Neodiprion lecontei: one gene and its partners. The protein of the gene in region 1 interacts with the protein of each later gene in a pairwise test. Links are inferred from orthologs where the notes say so. Each region holds a gene or a part of one and is shown on either strand. Other genes may lie near its edges. The genes, in order: ral guanine nucleotide dissociation stimulator, ras-like protein 1 and ras-related protein Rap1.

Region 1 (5,307 bases):
TGACATAGGGGATTAAAACTTTACACCGATTTTTTTTAATGATTTGGAACAGATCTGGGGACCCCCCCAATGAAAATTTTTCCGACCCCTAAATGAAAGGACCACCCTGATACATATGTATAAATGAATAATGGTTACAGACAAAACAATCTCTACTATCGTGTCGACGAAATAATTCGAAATATAAGAATATAATTTTAATTATATTATATTATATAATATTGATGAATACAAATATTACATATGAAATATATATATGTATGCATATGCATATAGCGTAACAATTATATTGAGATAATTATGAAATTGAAGTTATAAGAATACTGGTATGAGTGCGAAGATTACTGGAATTCATGATTTATTATAATAATTATTATTATTATTGTCATTATTATTGTTATAAATAAATATTAATAAATTGAGGCGGTGCTATATATAATCCAAATATGTACATACGTATGTAAATGTATATCGCTCGATATATATGCGGAGTTGAAAATTTGTCCCATGCGAATTGATAAATGAAGAGGTGGTATACATTACATAGGTATATGTATGCGTATAAACATACGTATATATATATATATATATATAGGTATATGTATATTATTTTCTTTTACCTCTGTTACATTAAAAGATGCAAGAAATTAAATTTGAAATAATCACGTCTGGTGTAGAACTAAAACGAAAAAACCCGAGTATTTGGAAATCGAGAAAAGTAAAGGTATTATAATAATGTTAGTAACAAGCAGCCTATAATCAAGCAATCAACAGTTGATGACGTTTACAATGTTGACGAAACGTACAATTGTTAGTCTCTTCTGCAACATTCAATTAATTATGTGTTTAGGTTGGTGTTAGGTCTGCGTATGTAGTTCTCGCGGTTTTTTTTTTTTTAATGTCGCGTGTTTGTACCTTGGAATTTCTTTTTAATCTGTTATGAATAATAAGTGTGTGTGTGTGTGTGTGTGTGTTATATATGCCGTAATAATCAGCCAAAAAATCACAAATTCTCAGAAAATGTTGACACTTATGTTACCGTTTTGTCCAATTTTTTGGAATTCGATACAAGCATTTTTGGGCTGATAATTACTGCTGATAATTACGGCAGCGATAAGAAAACGATTAAAAATCCCGAAAAACCAATGCTTTTCTTATGGGAAAAAGTAAGGCTTTTTAGGCGTGGGTAAATATGGAGGAAAAAATTTTTAAAAATTCGGACATTTTTTTTTAATTATTTCGAACCGATTTGGAGGGTAAGACCATTAAAATTCGATTTTGCCCTTCTTAAGGACAGGTCTAATATATATGTGTATAATGTATATTGCTATTACTTTTCTCAATTTTCCAACACTCAGTAGTTTTCGTCTGTATTCGTTCTAGTTCTATGCCAGACGTGATTGTTTCAGATTCAAATCCTTTCATCTTTTAATGTGATAGTGGTAAAGGAAAATAAAATTCAAACAAAAAACACAACAAAAGCAAAATCAACAATGAAAAGAATGTTGTTGTTTGCCATCAAAGTGTGAAACAAGATAATCTTAGCTAGGGTTTTTCAGGTACGTACAAAACAAACAAAAAAACTCAAATCAGTCGAAGGTTTTATTTATTCGTTGGATTGTACTAAATGGAGTAATGTTTTCACAATATTGAAGACTCGTATGAATGCTAACGATAATAATTATCAAAATGAAGCTCAGACTACGGGTAAAACCCCGCCATTAATCCCGTGGAAAGCTTAACCAAACAGAATCGTTCGCACAGAAAATTTTGCCGGGATTTGTGAACCGTAATTGCATATTTATACGTCAATCGGGAAGAAAGATAAGAGGACCATGGCCAGTGTGATCGAGTGAGATGCGCCTCAAAATAATGACGGTGAAACAATGAGATTTAAAATCGGAGACATTGAACATTCGTTGAAAATATTTATAATGTGAAAGCTGAAGTAGGTACGCATAATTTCAATTCACGGTGACAAGAATTGAGGTTGCATGAGATCGTACCTATACACGAACATACGGTTTGTTTGAGAAATATTTTGACACTACCAACCTACCGGTATTAATGTAATTAATAATCATTAGCATCAAGTGTGCAAACAACACCTTTAATGTGCCGTTGCATCATCACGTTTCGCAAAACAAGTATGCATGAAAAAAGAAAAAAAAAAAACAATCCAAAATGGCATTGCAGGTTTATTGCAGGACCGACGCAACATTGTTGCCGACAAGACGAAGAGATGGCGCTGGGATCGCCGAAGCTAGCGTCGGACGGTGAAAGCAGCGAGCGTACTGTCGGTCAGCAATGCAAAGCGCCTAATAACGGGAATTTCTGCATAGAAAAGACGGTGGAGAGGGAGAAACCAAACGTGGGAATGGCGTCAACGGGCAGTTCGGGAGTAGCAGAGCCGACGACGGTTCGTCGAAGTGAAATATCGGGCGACAGCGCTGCCAGCGGTTTTCAGTGGACAAATTCAGTCGCATCGATTCGTGCGGATCGAGGGTTCATAGGGTCTGTGCCGTCGTAGTGATCGAGGAAAGGCAGGAAAACGACCGACCGACCGGACTGATCGCGAGACCTGCAAATGTCGTTGACGTTCTTTGGCCACGCGTAATTCGTATTTCGTGTGCTGCGTTACGTCCTTTGCTGAAAAGGAGCACAATAATTTCGAGAATAGGGTGTCCAGTGCTTGTCTTCCCGGCCACAGTGAAACTCCATACCAACACTTCGGATGACAGGTGTCAGCGGCAGCGAAAGCACCATTGATCCTGTCTCCGTATGTGCTCAACTGCGAACTGTATGCACGTTATTTATTTATTTTTTTTTCCCATGTGATCAACGACAGTGAAATGACTGCTGATTGGTTCTGGATAGGCCACATGGAACAGCGAGAAACAGCAGCCTTATCATCGACATCGTAGGAGTGAAGCAGCGGAAGTTCCAAAGAAGAACGGGCATCACCTCGATTATAAAACACAGTGGAATATGGATACCATTATAATGTCGGAGAGAAGCAGAGTGCTAATTATTGTCGAATCGTTGAATTCTTTAAGTCCCGGTTGTTTCAGTGCAGCAGGTTGTGAGAAAATCTTGGAGGAACCTCCGCGAAGAGTCGACAGTAACAGGCGCCCGCATTTACTACGAAGAGGATCTGTGCTATGAGTGGTGAAAATGCTGACGACTCCTTGGTAATTTGAGTAGAAAAAACCAAAATAAAAAAAAAATCATCCATAAATATAAGGAAGACAACGATTATTTTTTCATATCAAGTCGATGGCGGTTCTCGATCAGCTGTTGTCACGCACACTAACGCACGGTCTTTAATTACTTTCCTTCTCTTTCTTTGTATAACAATTATTTTCTCCTTGGTATATTCTTTAATAAACTAACATATCTTTTACCATTGGTTTTATGTGGTTTAACAATTTCACACAGCAGACATACCTAGTATTCCCCTTTTACCCTTATGCGCGCTAGCTGTGTATGAATTTTTTTGTGTCTGACTCTTTCGCTTTTTTTTTTACTAACAACTACTGCACTCACACATCTCTAAACAACGAACGTTGAAGTATAGAGGTAAACTGGGAGTGGGTACGAACTACCATAACAGTAAAAGCCCGCCGCCTTGTTGAGCCAGCGCTGATTTGTCGTACGCAAATTTTGAGTGTTCATGTGTCATGCGAATTGCGCAAGTCCGCATGAGAAAAAGCAACTCACGTTTTTTAAAACAAAACTGGAGGGAAAAAAATCTTGATCTTAATATCTTACCTTTCATTCAAGACTTCGGTTTGAATTTTCAAGCTGAAACACTCAATACGATTTCCATGCACTGTTCAAATGAGAATTATTGTCAATGATCTTGACAATTAGGAAAGGAGTAGTAAGGGAAGAGAGCTGAAAAGTATTGAGGGGGAAAAATATACTGGACATGAGAGAAGGTGAATTTTTATACAAAAGTATAATGCATGATATGGCCTCATGGTCGAGCCGTTGCCTCAACAGTAGGACCTTCACCTTGAAAAACGTTTCATTCGTTTAATACCAATTATCACTGGACGTGTTAAGCTCTGAACGGTCTGAGTATATATTACACCATTACATATTTGAATGGTGTGAACTAATTTCTCTCGAGTTCTTGGACTGTTCGGAATTGAAACGACAGTAAGATGACCCAAGGGATAAATCATGATCAAACTTTAGTCTGCCACACTGCGTTTTTGGAACGAGTAATCGCTAATCGGGAAAGGCTGAGGCATCGGTTCAGGATTCGGGAATCCCGTGAAATTAGGATAAACAGTGAATTGCAGGAGAGCAAAGCGGATGAAACTGAAGACGAAAAAACTATCTAGACCGGCGTAAAATGGCATGAGAATGCGGTCTAAGGATTGCAGATTTCCTTTCTATATTCCCGTACCGTGAATATTTCTAAAGTCTGCGCGTTGTTCTCCCACGTTACGCGAATCATCACGGGAAGTGAAATGAAAATTACGGCAACAATTTGCTCGGTTTGCAATATGGAGAAGACAAAGACGGAAAAAGAAGTAGCTGTAAATCGATTTTTTGCATTGATGTATGGAAAAAAGTTATTAGTAGAAATTGTTCGTTTTTTTTTCGTTCGCGTTGTGTTAAGCTTCTCTATAAAACTTGATCCATAAAACCGGTGCAATACTGTTCCGTTATCCGGTTGAAACGATCTCTCCCACGAAAGTTGACTCGAATTTGCAATATAAATTATCACCGTCTTCTTTGCCAGCGCGGAGTCCGTTTCATATAATGTACATGTACAGATACGTTGTGACCCTGATATTATATTAATCTAAATAATCAGCACTCATAAGGCTGTCTGCACCTTCGAATCGTCATGAATTCAGATTGAAAGTTCACGCAATTCAACCGGAACACAGACAAAAGTTGAAGCTGAGTGATTATAATAGAAACTCCAAGTCCTATTTCAATAAGCTGCGAAATGAGTTAGGAAAAGATGATGGGACAAAAGTTCACGCTATTCGACGATAATTTTCATTCGGCAAACGGATCTTTATACCATGTATAACATCAGTTAACATGGAAAAGCAAAATAGCTGTTTCTCTGAGTTTCCAAACGATTCAAAACTCCTTCGTGCCGTCGTACAACACAGCTGGAGTACGTCACGAATGGCATATCTTGTTCTAAATGTGTCAAGTTTATACACGATACTGTACGGTCGAAAGAAGGTAGGCGCGTCGATCGAGGAATGTCGAAGTGAGAGAATCGCGTGTACGTACATGAATGCGTTGCGCACATCGGCAAACCGGTGAGCGAGT
Region 2 (4,916 bases), on another chromosome or scaffold:
TGACCAAGATGGCAGTATCTTATTTTGTTAAATAATTTTACAACCAAAGATATTTTTTCTTCTTCTTCTTTTCAATTATGATTAAGCTTTCGTAAGCGATGGATGATCACACTATCTATGCTAGGATGAACCCAATATTTGTGTGGGTCAAAGCCTTAGAAATCATAAATCGAAGTAGAAAAAACATGTGTGATAATATTCAAAACCATATGGATAATTGCAACCATTTTCCAATGTATACATCACTATTTAATATTCACTCACATAAAAATTAGTTAAAAAATTCTACCATATATGAGTAGCACTTCGTATATAAATGAATTATACTAACAATTTATTTCAACATTGCTATAGTGCGTAAAACATTACTGCGAAAATTGTGTGATTTTATGCGTATGAATATAATTTTAAATTGTACGATTACATTATTTAACAAGTTCTTAAGAGATAATTTTTCATACTTAGCTTAAGAATGGTCAAAACCCAAATAAAGTTTCGAAATATAGATAGTTAATCCAGTAAAATGTTATCATTATTTGTAAGATAAGATTTGATACTACGAGTAAAAATGTATTGTGTAATATTGTACAATCATACATCAATCGTTTTAAAAAATGTTGTGGTGGCAGCTTTACTTCGCGTTTCAAAGTGAACTGCACTAATGTGCGACACAGTTAATTAACCCAACGGTTTTTTTTTCTTTTTACATTATACTCGCGCTTGTATAGTATATAAAGGTAACAGAAATTAGTTAACCATTTACAGAAGACAGCAGCGATGCCTTCGGCGTCCAGAACTTCTTGCTCTCATACGCTTTCGTTTTTCTTTGCCTCTTTGTTCTTTATCACTTCGGATTTCTCTAACCTGAAAGATATAAGTGATAACCAGTAAGATTTTTTACCACTTGCACACTTTTTCATCTTTTACTATGAATCACTTTGCTTACTAGAGTATAGAAAGCGTCGTCTACTCCCATTCTAGTTTTTGCGGAAGTTTCAACGAATGGTACACCATACTGACGAGCTACTTCTCTCGCTTGCGTCATATTTACAGCCCATGACTGAAGGTCACATTTATTCCCAACTAACACCATTGGCACCTCTTCGGCATCTTTGACACGTTTTATCTGTTCTCTGTATGTTCCAATGTCCTGTGTAATGCGAAGAAAGCAACCAAAGTTAGGTCAGTGTAATTATAGTGAAGAAAATAAAAGAATGGAAAAAATTGCTTAAATATGACAAACTTTACTATACCCTGTAATTAATTACAATAAAACCTCTTGATTCATACTCTCAAGTTATAAATACTTGTCACATTGATAAGCTGAGAAGATATCATTGCAAGTGTGAAAAGCTTTGCTACAGACTCAAGGGATATCTGATGATCAGGTTAATTGAGACAAGACAACTGTGTGATTTTTTTTGGTTACTGTGATTTTTACTAACTACATTATTTTGTAAGTAAACATCGCGAAGATTAATAATTTTCTAGCTTACTAAACAATAAATGTATCGAAATGCAGTATTGTACTTACTTCAAAACTTTTTGCCGAATTAACAGCAAAGACTAGTAGAAATCCTTCACCAGTTCGCATGTATTGGTCCCGCATTGCGCTATACTCTTCTTGGCCAGCGGTATCTAAAATATCCAGCAAACAAGTTTCCCCATCTATAACAACCTGAAAAATATGAAAATAATTAAGCTAAAAATAAAGAGTATTTGTCTATTTCTAGTGCATTGAAGATAACTTTGATTGAAAAAAAAATTAATTGTATAACTTATGCGACAAAATTTTTGAATCCAAATGTTAGTTACCTGTTTTCTATAAGAGTCTTCTATTGTTGGATCATATTCATCTACAAAGTGGTTCTGAATTAGTTGTATGGTGAGCGCTGACTTGCCAACACCTCCAGCCCCTACAACAACTAGCTTGTATTCCGTCATGACAGTCTTTTTAGTAAATCTCAACTTGAACCAAAGTACCGGACCTGAATGATGCTGGGTCGTACACTGGTTGAAAAAAGATACCTGCAAAGTGAAAAAAGAATCTTCAACAAAGATGATGGAGAGCAATTGATCTTCACTAATTGTAAGAGATTCTATCTACCTATTTATGTCTCAAGGATGGATATTATGAAGTATCCCATAGAAAGTTCGCGAAAGCAAAGGAAAAATGCTGAAATTAATCTTGCAAATGTTTCGAGAAATAAGAAAGTGGTATTTAAATTTGTGTTATATTGATTGGGTATTTTGAGCTAATGAAAAACTTATTAAAGGTTATTCGCACAATCGTATTGTAAAATACGGTAGTTGATTAGAGTTACGATGATGATAAACGATATTTTGTTATTATCTGTCGATTGGTTACATCAGATTTGCATTTTCTAATCTGTCAACGATCTGTAAGTGAGAAATAGGATATGAGTTGTGAAGAAAGAAAAAAAAAGTAACACTAAACAGGGCAAAGTAAACTTGAAGTTGAGGATAAAAATGTTTCATATACTTACTAAAGCTTGCAGGGCATTTCACTACAGAGTTTATTTTCAAATTCTTTTGTCACGACAATTGTTTAGTCACTCGCTCGAGCTTAAAAGTATAAATTAATTTAATAAAATTAATTGTTTTGATGAGTGTCGCCTGCCACAGCCTTAGAGCATATAGACATTGAGGAAGCATCGACGCTGGAAAACTGTCTCCGAGTCAGTGACAGAGAGAGACATCGTAATATTACATGCGCGCTCTGTCTGCGGCAAGAGCGTACCTGTCGTAATTGAGTGCCCCGCGCATTGCGTGGATATAATCCGGATATGTATACACATACACTGATTTCTAGTAGATAAGGTTATTGAAACAAACAGTTAATAATATCAGTATTTAACATATTTTTAAATGAAAAATTTTAATTTATGAATGTGGAACGGGCATTTTCTCCATAAAGTGTGATGGAAACGCGACGTTTCAATGGCATGATTTTAGTAAATAAATTAAACTTAATAGCAGCACTCGAACTTCTGATGCTCCTGGTATGCACTACGAGCAAAACAAACTATTAAAGCCTTTACAGCCAGGAACCGGGATCCTGTGATACAAGCGTGAGTGCTCGGAGCACTAGCGTAAGTCGGCCAATCGGAGCCTGCGAGACAGAGAAGGGATGTAGTATTACTATTTCCCTCTCTGTACCGTTTTCCACTTATGCGAAAGGGTATACCAGGACTATATGCTCTAAGGCCACAGCCCACTTCGCTACTGCCATTAGTGAGTGGTAGTCACAAAAAACTCACCCAGTTCGAATCACTACCGGTAAAATAGATAACAAGATATGTTGCCATCTACATGTTGGTCAACAAAGTAGGAATCGGCCACTCTTCACGTATTATTAGAGGATACCATCATTTTTCGTAAAACAATAACGGAATGAAATAATTTTGACCCCTAGGCACCCTAATCTGATTCATAAAAAAACACGTATTCGACGATAGTGACATATAGTGTTAATTGTAGGCTTGACTTGCTTTGAATTCGATTGCGAATCAGACGTATTTACAGCCTAAGATCACAGCATGTCTTGGAAACGCGGATCATGGAACGGAAAAAGAATACGGGTCTAATGAAATTCGATTTAAAAAAGTAACCGAAGGTTTTGCAGCTTCATCATTGTACCAAAAGTAGAGTTTTCCATTTTTCATTTTAGATCACTCTAGTTGCCGTAATCATGTCCGTAAACGAGTCGTGCGGCATCTACAGCGCATTGTTTATATAACAATAAATATGTTCTTTATGAATTTTTTGCAATAGGAAAAAAAAAACAAAAACGAGACATTTCAATACTACGTATTAACTGTGTGCAAAAGTTCAATCTTGGCACCCGAATACCTGAGTGAAAAAGAAATATGGAAAATAGACTCGTTTTTCGAAGGTTATGCTTACCCCTTAAAATTCTGTTACAGGCCTTAGGGAAGAAAGTAAAAATAAAATAAATTTACATTTCATATAACTTACTTCAAAAGTTTATACATAAAAAATATGTTAGCCTAAGATATGAATATAATATAAAATAAAAACTATTAATAAGAATATTAAATATAACGTAATAAATATGCAATCGTAAATGTATATACAGTTCAATTTTAATCAAATTCGTCGATCATTTTGGGTTATGATGATAATGTGAATAATAATTTAAATACAATATAGTCAATAATGTACCTATCTTCGATATAATATTATATTATACAATAGTCTTCTCTAACACCGGGGTTATGAAAAATATAATTATTAATTTGTGCAACAAGCTTCATTCATTCTTTTTCTCTCACACGTATTCGATAATTTGTACAAGTAATTAACTATGTTCTTAACAATATCGAATCGTATAATAATAAAAATAATTTATAAACAATTCTGTACAATATTGATAATTAATAAATTAAGAAGAAACATCTTAACAGCCAAACCTGCAATTTAATTCAACATTAATCAATAAATAGCATTTCATTGATCTCTGACTTCGAAATCAAGTTCTTTTCAAAAGTTTCTTCTTCCAAAGTATTTAAATAATCATTCATTTCTATAACTAGCAAAAGCTGGATTTTTCTTTTACTCTCGTTTTTCCTTCCTGAAATCTTACAACAGCACGTGGACAAATTTTGTGAAATGTTGTCAATCTTAAAAAATGTATTCTAGGTAATAATATACGAAATCGGCAAATATGTACGCCCATTAAACGCGGGGTTGGCTGTAATGCAAAAACGATACTCTACCAACTACCTGTAATAATGTGACATTATCATTGGGTTATCAACCAATGTCACGGGTTAAGTCCACCTGGTCGTTTACGATTTCGTCTATTTCGTTCCAATAGGAACGACAAATCTAGGGGATCCTTTTTATTTGGCATTCTTTGCAGCAGGCCAACC
Region 3 (5,188 bases), about 9.1 Mb from region 1:
GACACGCGTTGTTCAGAGGGTGGGGCACGCGGCGTGGGCCCAGCGTGGGTCCCCACGTATAAAATGCACATATGAGTGTCAGAGGGGACTCGATATCGTAGTCGAAATCGGACACGTGTAATAAGGTAGTGAAAAAAGCGAAATCAATGCCGGTTAACCCCGATAAAACAACTCGAAACACATGTGTGTTTCTTGTCGATGAAACGAAAGAAGAAAAGAAAACGAAAATTAAACTAATTAATAAATCGTTTGCAACTTATAACGTACTATACATCGTTTATGATAAATAGGTTGATGTAAGAAAAACATACGCACACACGTACGGACGACTCTTATCGTTATAATATCATCATCGACTAGCTTTATTGTGTAATGCGATATCCTTATCTGTGCATAGAATATTTCTGGATGCTCGGTTTCAGTCGTTTAGAGAAATTTTTATGACATAACGTATCCCGTTGTTTCAGACTCATAAAAATTCAGGTTTAAATAATGGTACAACTCCATCTCTATACAAGTGTATTTAAATACTATTTCTAGTATATCAACCGCTTGAAGTTTACTGATTTAAAAACAAACATCAATCAATAACAGATCAATCTTCGGATAATCGATTGAAATTTGATGCTGCTCGAGGAGGCGCAACGATTATTTTTGTGTAGAGTTTATCCCCGTTTTTGGTACGAAGGATTACCGGAAAATCGACGAATCGCTTTAAATTAGTACGAATTATGACAGATGGTACAGAAATAGATCTACGAGGGAATGTGTTTTTTTTCTATCTTTGTTGCTGCTTGTTTCCTGCAGTTTGCCAGAATGGCGAAACTGAGTAGATGGAGTGTATCGTTTCGTCGATTAAGTTCAACCAGATACCTACACACACCAAGGATAATTGGTATCACTTACGTAACGACTCTCTACCTATATGTACATATGTATACACCCTCGAGTGGTTTCAAGTTGATAATTTTGTAACGTATACGTACAACTGTTTCTGTATACTTCGCGATGTTACTCCCACAATACGTGTTGTACCTTTCTGCAGGATGAGGGGTGGTTTGCTTTCTTCTCGTTGCTGTGTGAATTAATTTTTAATTGTATTCCCCCTGCTGCTGGAAGCCGATAATAGTCCATGGAATAATATAATAATCATACACAACGTGCCGAGTTTTCTTTACATTGTATAACGTGCATTAAAAACTTTAAAAATTTTACTATATATTCATTCGACTTACGTTTAAGATTAGTACGTACAATATTGACGGACGAGTAAATGAGGTTGCGTTTAATAATAACCTGCATGATAAACACTGGCAACAAGACACGTCGTAGAGAGACCCGTACAGTCCTCGTTTATGACGCCAGGTTGAAGAAAAATACAATCGATACATCGATGTCTAAAAAGCATGACGCAAGAAAGAATTTTATTTCCATGATCGGTGTAATCATCGATGATATAATCGTGTGCGATTACACAGATTATTCTATGCTGTCTATACAAATGACTAGCATTTTATCTCAAGAGAAGTTATTATCAAGTTCAAATTTCCCGCTCTCGTGACTCGATTTTATGTTACCTGTGTGAAGGTATGTAACAGCTGAGAAACAGTCAAGAATATTTGAAAATCATTCGACGTGAATTATAAAAATCGGGTAGAAGGTAATCTTGAGAGTGCGAGATCAGTGCCCGTATAAGCGTGGTACTATTATTAAATGTGCAGTACGTTAATTGATTTTATTTAAGGAACGACCGTGATGCACGCAACGTGCAGAGGGGGGGTGTCGAAGACCCTTAAACACATGAAGGATTTTCGTCCCGCGATGACGCTGATGGGGAATGGATGACGTTTATACACGCTCGTGTTACATCGTGCATAGATACACCGTATAATACGTGCGTACGGCGTTTTATGATATGAGTCACATTAGGATTATGATTATTTTTAGTGTATGTATCCGTAAGTTGAATCGTGTCGTCACTTGTTCTGATCGTAATTGCGGTAAAGCCAACCAACAACCATATATTGCATGTCTAGATGTCGCCTCGTAACGTGAAAGAGCCGACTAAATTATTACTGATAAATTATTTATCGTGGACAGTACGATAGGTCGATTTTAAAACGAGCCTCGTTCGCCGATAAAAGCGATTGGTTACCGTGATTAATTGAAAGAAATTGACAGGATTGACAGTAATAAAAGGGCAATAGCAGAAGAGAACAAAAAAAAGAGGAACATCGGTAACGTGGTACTGAAAGGAAGGGAGGGAACGCTCTCAGTTATGTGGATCAAGTATTTAGTCTATGGATGGTCGAAACGCAAGATAAATCCGGCTGCTGTGATCGTAGATAATAAATTCCTAGATATGCGACAAACGACAGAAGAAGAAAAATTCGCTTTCTCTCCCTTTATTCATCCGATTCCGATTATCGAATACTCGCGAATTAACTTTTTGTTTTTTGTTGCATAGTGAGAGGACCAGAGGGAAGCGGATGGGATCGACTGTCGAGCTAAAATGAGATACGACAAGATACTTGAGAGCTCGGACTGTGGGCGTTTTCAGTGTAGGGATGAATTGATGCATCGCTTGTGTGCGGAGATGAAGATAAGCGAAGAGAGACGGAATGAAGTAGATGTGTGTAATTTTCTTAGTTACATACCTGACGCCTATCTCGCGGTTGGTATCTCTGGGGATCCTTGATTTCCCGTAGAAATTACGATATATGGTGTATGATTGTTGTTGTTGTTGTTGTTTTATTTTGTTTTTTTACGACGTCCACCGTTTTCGATTTCGTTGCAACGACTTCCAAGTCTGACTGTGATTAGATTCTCCGGTTGTTTCCTGTCGTTCGCTTTTGCCTTCTTCTGTCGTCGCCGCCGCCGCTGCTGCTGCTGTTGCTGCTGCTGCTACACCGCCATGACTTCATGTAGAGAGAGAAAATACCCACTACTACCCAGAGTCACGATGTAGGTAGGTAGGCAGGCAGGCAGTTGAGTAGGTGTACGTACCAATTGCACACCGAGATTGTCGTCGAGTTGTGACACTGATACTCGGTTCACGAATGAAGGAATATCTTTTCTCTATTTTTTTTCGTTCGTAACTCTTTAAAGTCTTCCTACGAAACTTTTATTACAACTTTACATTCACAGATTTTCTTCCCCTCTAAGCCTCGTGTCGCCGATGCTGCACCCTTTCCACGCACACCGCACTACTGCCGAACTCGCGAGCATATAACAATAATTAATTTTACCTTTTATACAGTCTTGTTGAATTGTGTTGTTTTTTTTTTTTTTTAACTATTATTGTTATTTTCTTTGTATCCCGTATCTTTTTTCTTTTTCCTCGCAACACTTCTTTGTTCATTTACTCGTTAATTTAAATTCTCTAGTTTGTTGTTTTTTTTTTTCTCTTACGGATCATTCGATTCCACAGAGTCTCTATATCACCGCACGTTTTACTCCTTCTGTCGGTTCGTATCAATTTATAACACGGCCTTAAGTAACGCCCGGCGAATCACAATTCTACCGTTATCTAGGGCGATGCCTACTCTGCTCGTCGCCGCTCGCTCACCCTGTCTTCCATTGGCACGTCGCTACGAACGTTCGCCGATAGCTTCTCTCGTAACCTTTCGTCGGCCAATTGGGGGCTCCCTTACGTCGGTCAAGCCCAATGGGCACTCAGCTTTTATGTGATGACGTCACTAGCCATTCGACCAACGTAAGCGCAACCGCTTAGTCATACGCAGCCACACACCGAACGACATCCGGAACGCCAGATTCGAGCAGGATATTGTTTCGTACCTGTTTAAGCAGCAATTTTTGCTCTATTCCGTCACTACGAGCGTCGATTTTACCTATTTCGGAGCTATAAACTCGAGGTAACTGCCAAAAATCTCAAATAATTCTACTCACTCTCGGCCAATGGAGAGTGCGGAAAATTAATTTACTTTCTTTAAGTTGGCAGTTCCGTATGCCGCGAAATATAAAACTTGAAGACGTATCGGATCTTCGTGCATGCGATCTTGCGTTAATTTGTACAGAAATTCAAATGTTCGAATGTCTTTTGTTTCTTGGTCTTACCGTTAATCAGATGAAATTAGAAGGTCAACGATGGAGCGAGTTACTCCACGTGGTTTCCGATCGAAGGGTGCGAATCAGGCAGAAATATTAAGAGCCCGTCAGCGGGATGATATGTTTGTTACAAATTTGCGGGAAAACTTATCAGAATTGATGCACAAACTCGGTGGCAGCAAATTACTTCTACACATCGTACAGTCCGAGCTACCAGCCAAATTCGCCTATTTCATTGCTACTACAGCAATGAACAATCAGACTATTGGTGAGGAGTACACTGGCATTATTCAAGCTGACCTGAAAGCCTTAAAAGTTCCATCGCTCGCTGTGGGTATTCAGTTTTGGAACATCCGCTGAATTCAAATGCCCGTTTTTATAAACAGACTGAAATTATCTTTCAGGCACGAACGTTAGCCATACTATTGGAATGCTTTGGCGAACAAGTCTTGATAAGGATATTAGACAGGCTATTGGTCTCAATCAACAATCCAGGAAACGAATTAACACCCGAGGCGAAATCTATTCTAAATTTCTCATTGACGAGACTCAGAACTGCTATTCCCATTGTAATTCTAGCCCATCGAGGTCTCTTCTATATTCTTGGTCGGTATTACAGCCTCAGCAAAAGAATCGCTGGTGTTGATTATATCAAGGTGCGTTGACCGTACTGTCTACCCCTGCTCAAAGCATATTTGATAGTAAAAATTGCAAATATTTTTCGCAGGTATACGGCCGTCGTCCAGCCGAAGGGATAAGTTGGGGTTTGCGATTGTTGGGGGTGGCAACGATCGCTCAATGTTTATTGAAGCTCTGGAGCAGCCGACAGTTATCAGCATCTGAGGAGGCAAAAACAGTTGAAATCACGAAAGGGTTGGGCACAGATTCACGTAGCTGCCAATTATGCCTCGAAGTTGTACCAACGACCGCAACACCCTGTGGTCATCTTTTCTGTTGGCAATGTATTTCTGATTGGCTTGCCGCCAGACCGCAGTGCCCATTGTGCAGAGAGTATGCCCATCCATCTAGAATTATATATTTATTAAATATTTGAGAAATGCGGGCAGAGAGAAGAAAAAAAAGTGGCAAACACGCATGCGTTATTTCCATTCCAATGTGA

The links.
Region 2: the proteins of ral guanine nucleotide dissociation stimulator (region 1) and ras-like protein 1 interact in a two-hybrid assay, tested with the Drosophila melanogaster proteins (2 studies listed by BioGRID). The link is inferred for Neodiprion lecontei from reciprocal best matches to the Drosophila melanogaster genes Rgl and Ras85D.
Region 3: the proteins of ral guanine nucleotide dissociation stimulator (region 1) and ras-related protein Rap1 interact in a two-hybrid assay, tested with the Drosophila melanogaster proteins (2 studies listed by BioGRID). The link is inferred for Neodiprion lecontei from reciprocal best matches to the Drosophila melanogaster genes Rgl and Rap1.

Annotation. Positions count from the first base shown.
Region 1 is NC_060264.1:21,917,690-21,922,996, reverse strand, and holds the start of ral guanine nucleotide dissociation stimulator, read left to right. Parts: upstream 1-2,262; 5' UTR 2,263-3,161; coding exon of another isoform or gene 3,162-3,191; intron 3,192-5,307.
Region 2 is NC_060265.1:20,932,740-20,937,655, forward strand, and holds ras-like protein 1, read right to left. Parts: upstream 2,706-4,916; 5' UTR 2,508-2,705; intron 2,393-2,507; exon of another isoform or gene 2,108-2,392; intron 2,029-2,107; 5' UTR 1,945-2,028; coding exon 1,816-1,944; intron 1,679-1,815; coding exon 1,535-1,678; intron 1,151-1,534; coding exon 947-1,150; intron 865-946; coding exon 760-864; 3' UTR 616-759; downstream 1-615. Other genes in the region: histone-lysine N-methyltransferase ash1, read right to left, coding at 4,808-4,916. UniProt on the Drosophila melanogaster protein: Ras proteins bind GDP/GTP and possess intrinsic GTPase activity. Plays a role in eye development by regulating cell growth, survival of postmitotic ommatidial cells and differentiation of photoreceptor cells.
Region 3 is NC_060264.1:31,047,835-31,053,022, reverse strand, and holds the start of ras-related protein Rap1, read right to left. Parts: upstream 3,277-5,188; 5' UTR 2,658-3,276; intron 1-2,657. Other genes in the region: peroxisome biogenesis factor 10, read left to right, coding at 4,108-4,398, 4,473-4,724, 4,796-5,122. UniProt on the Drosophila melanogaster protein: Ras proteins bind GDP/GTP and possess intrinsic GTPase activity. Plays a role in photoreceptor cell determination.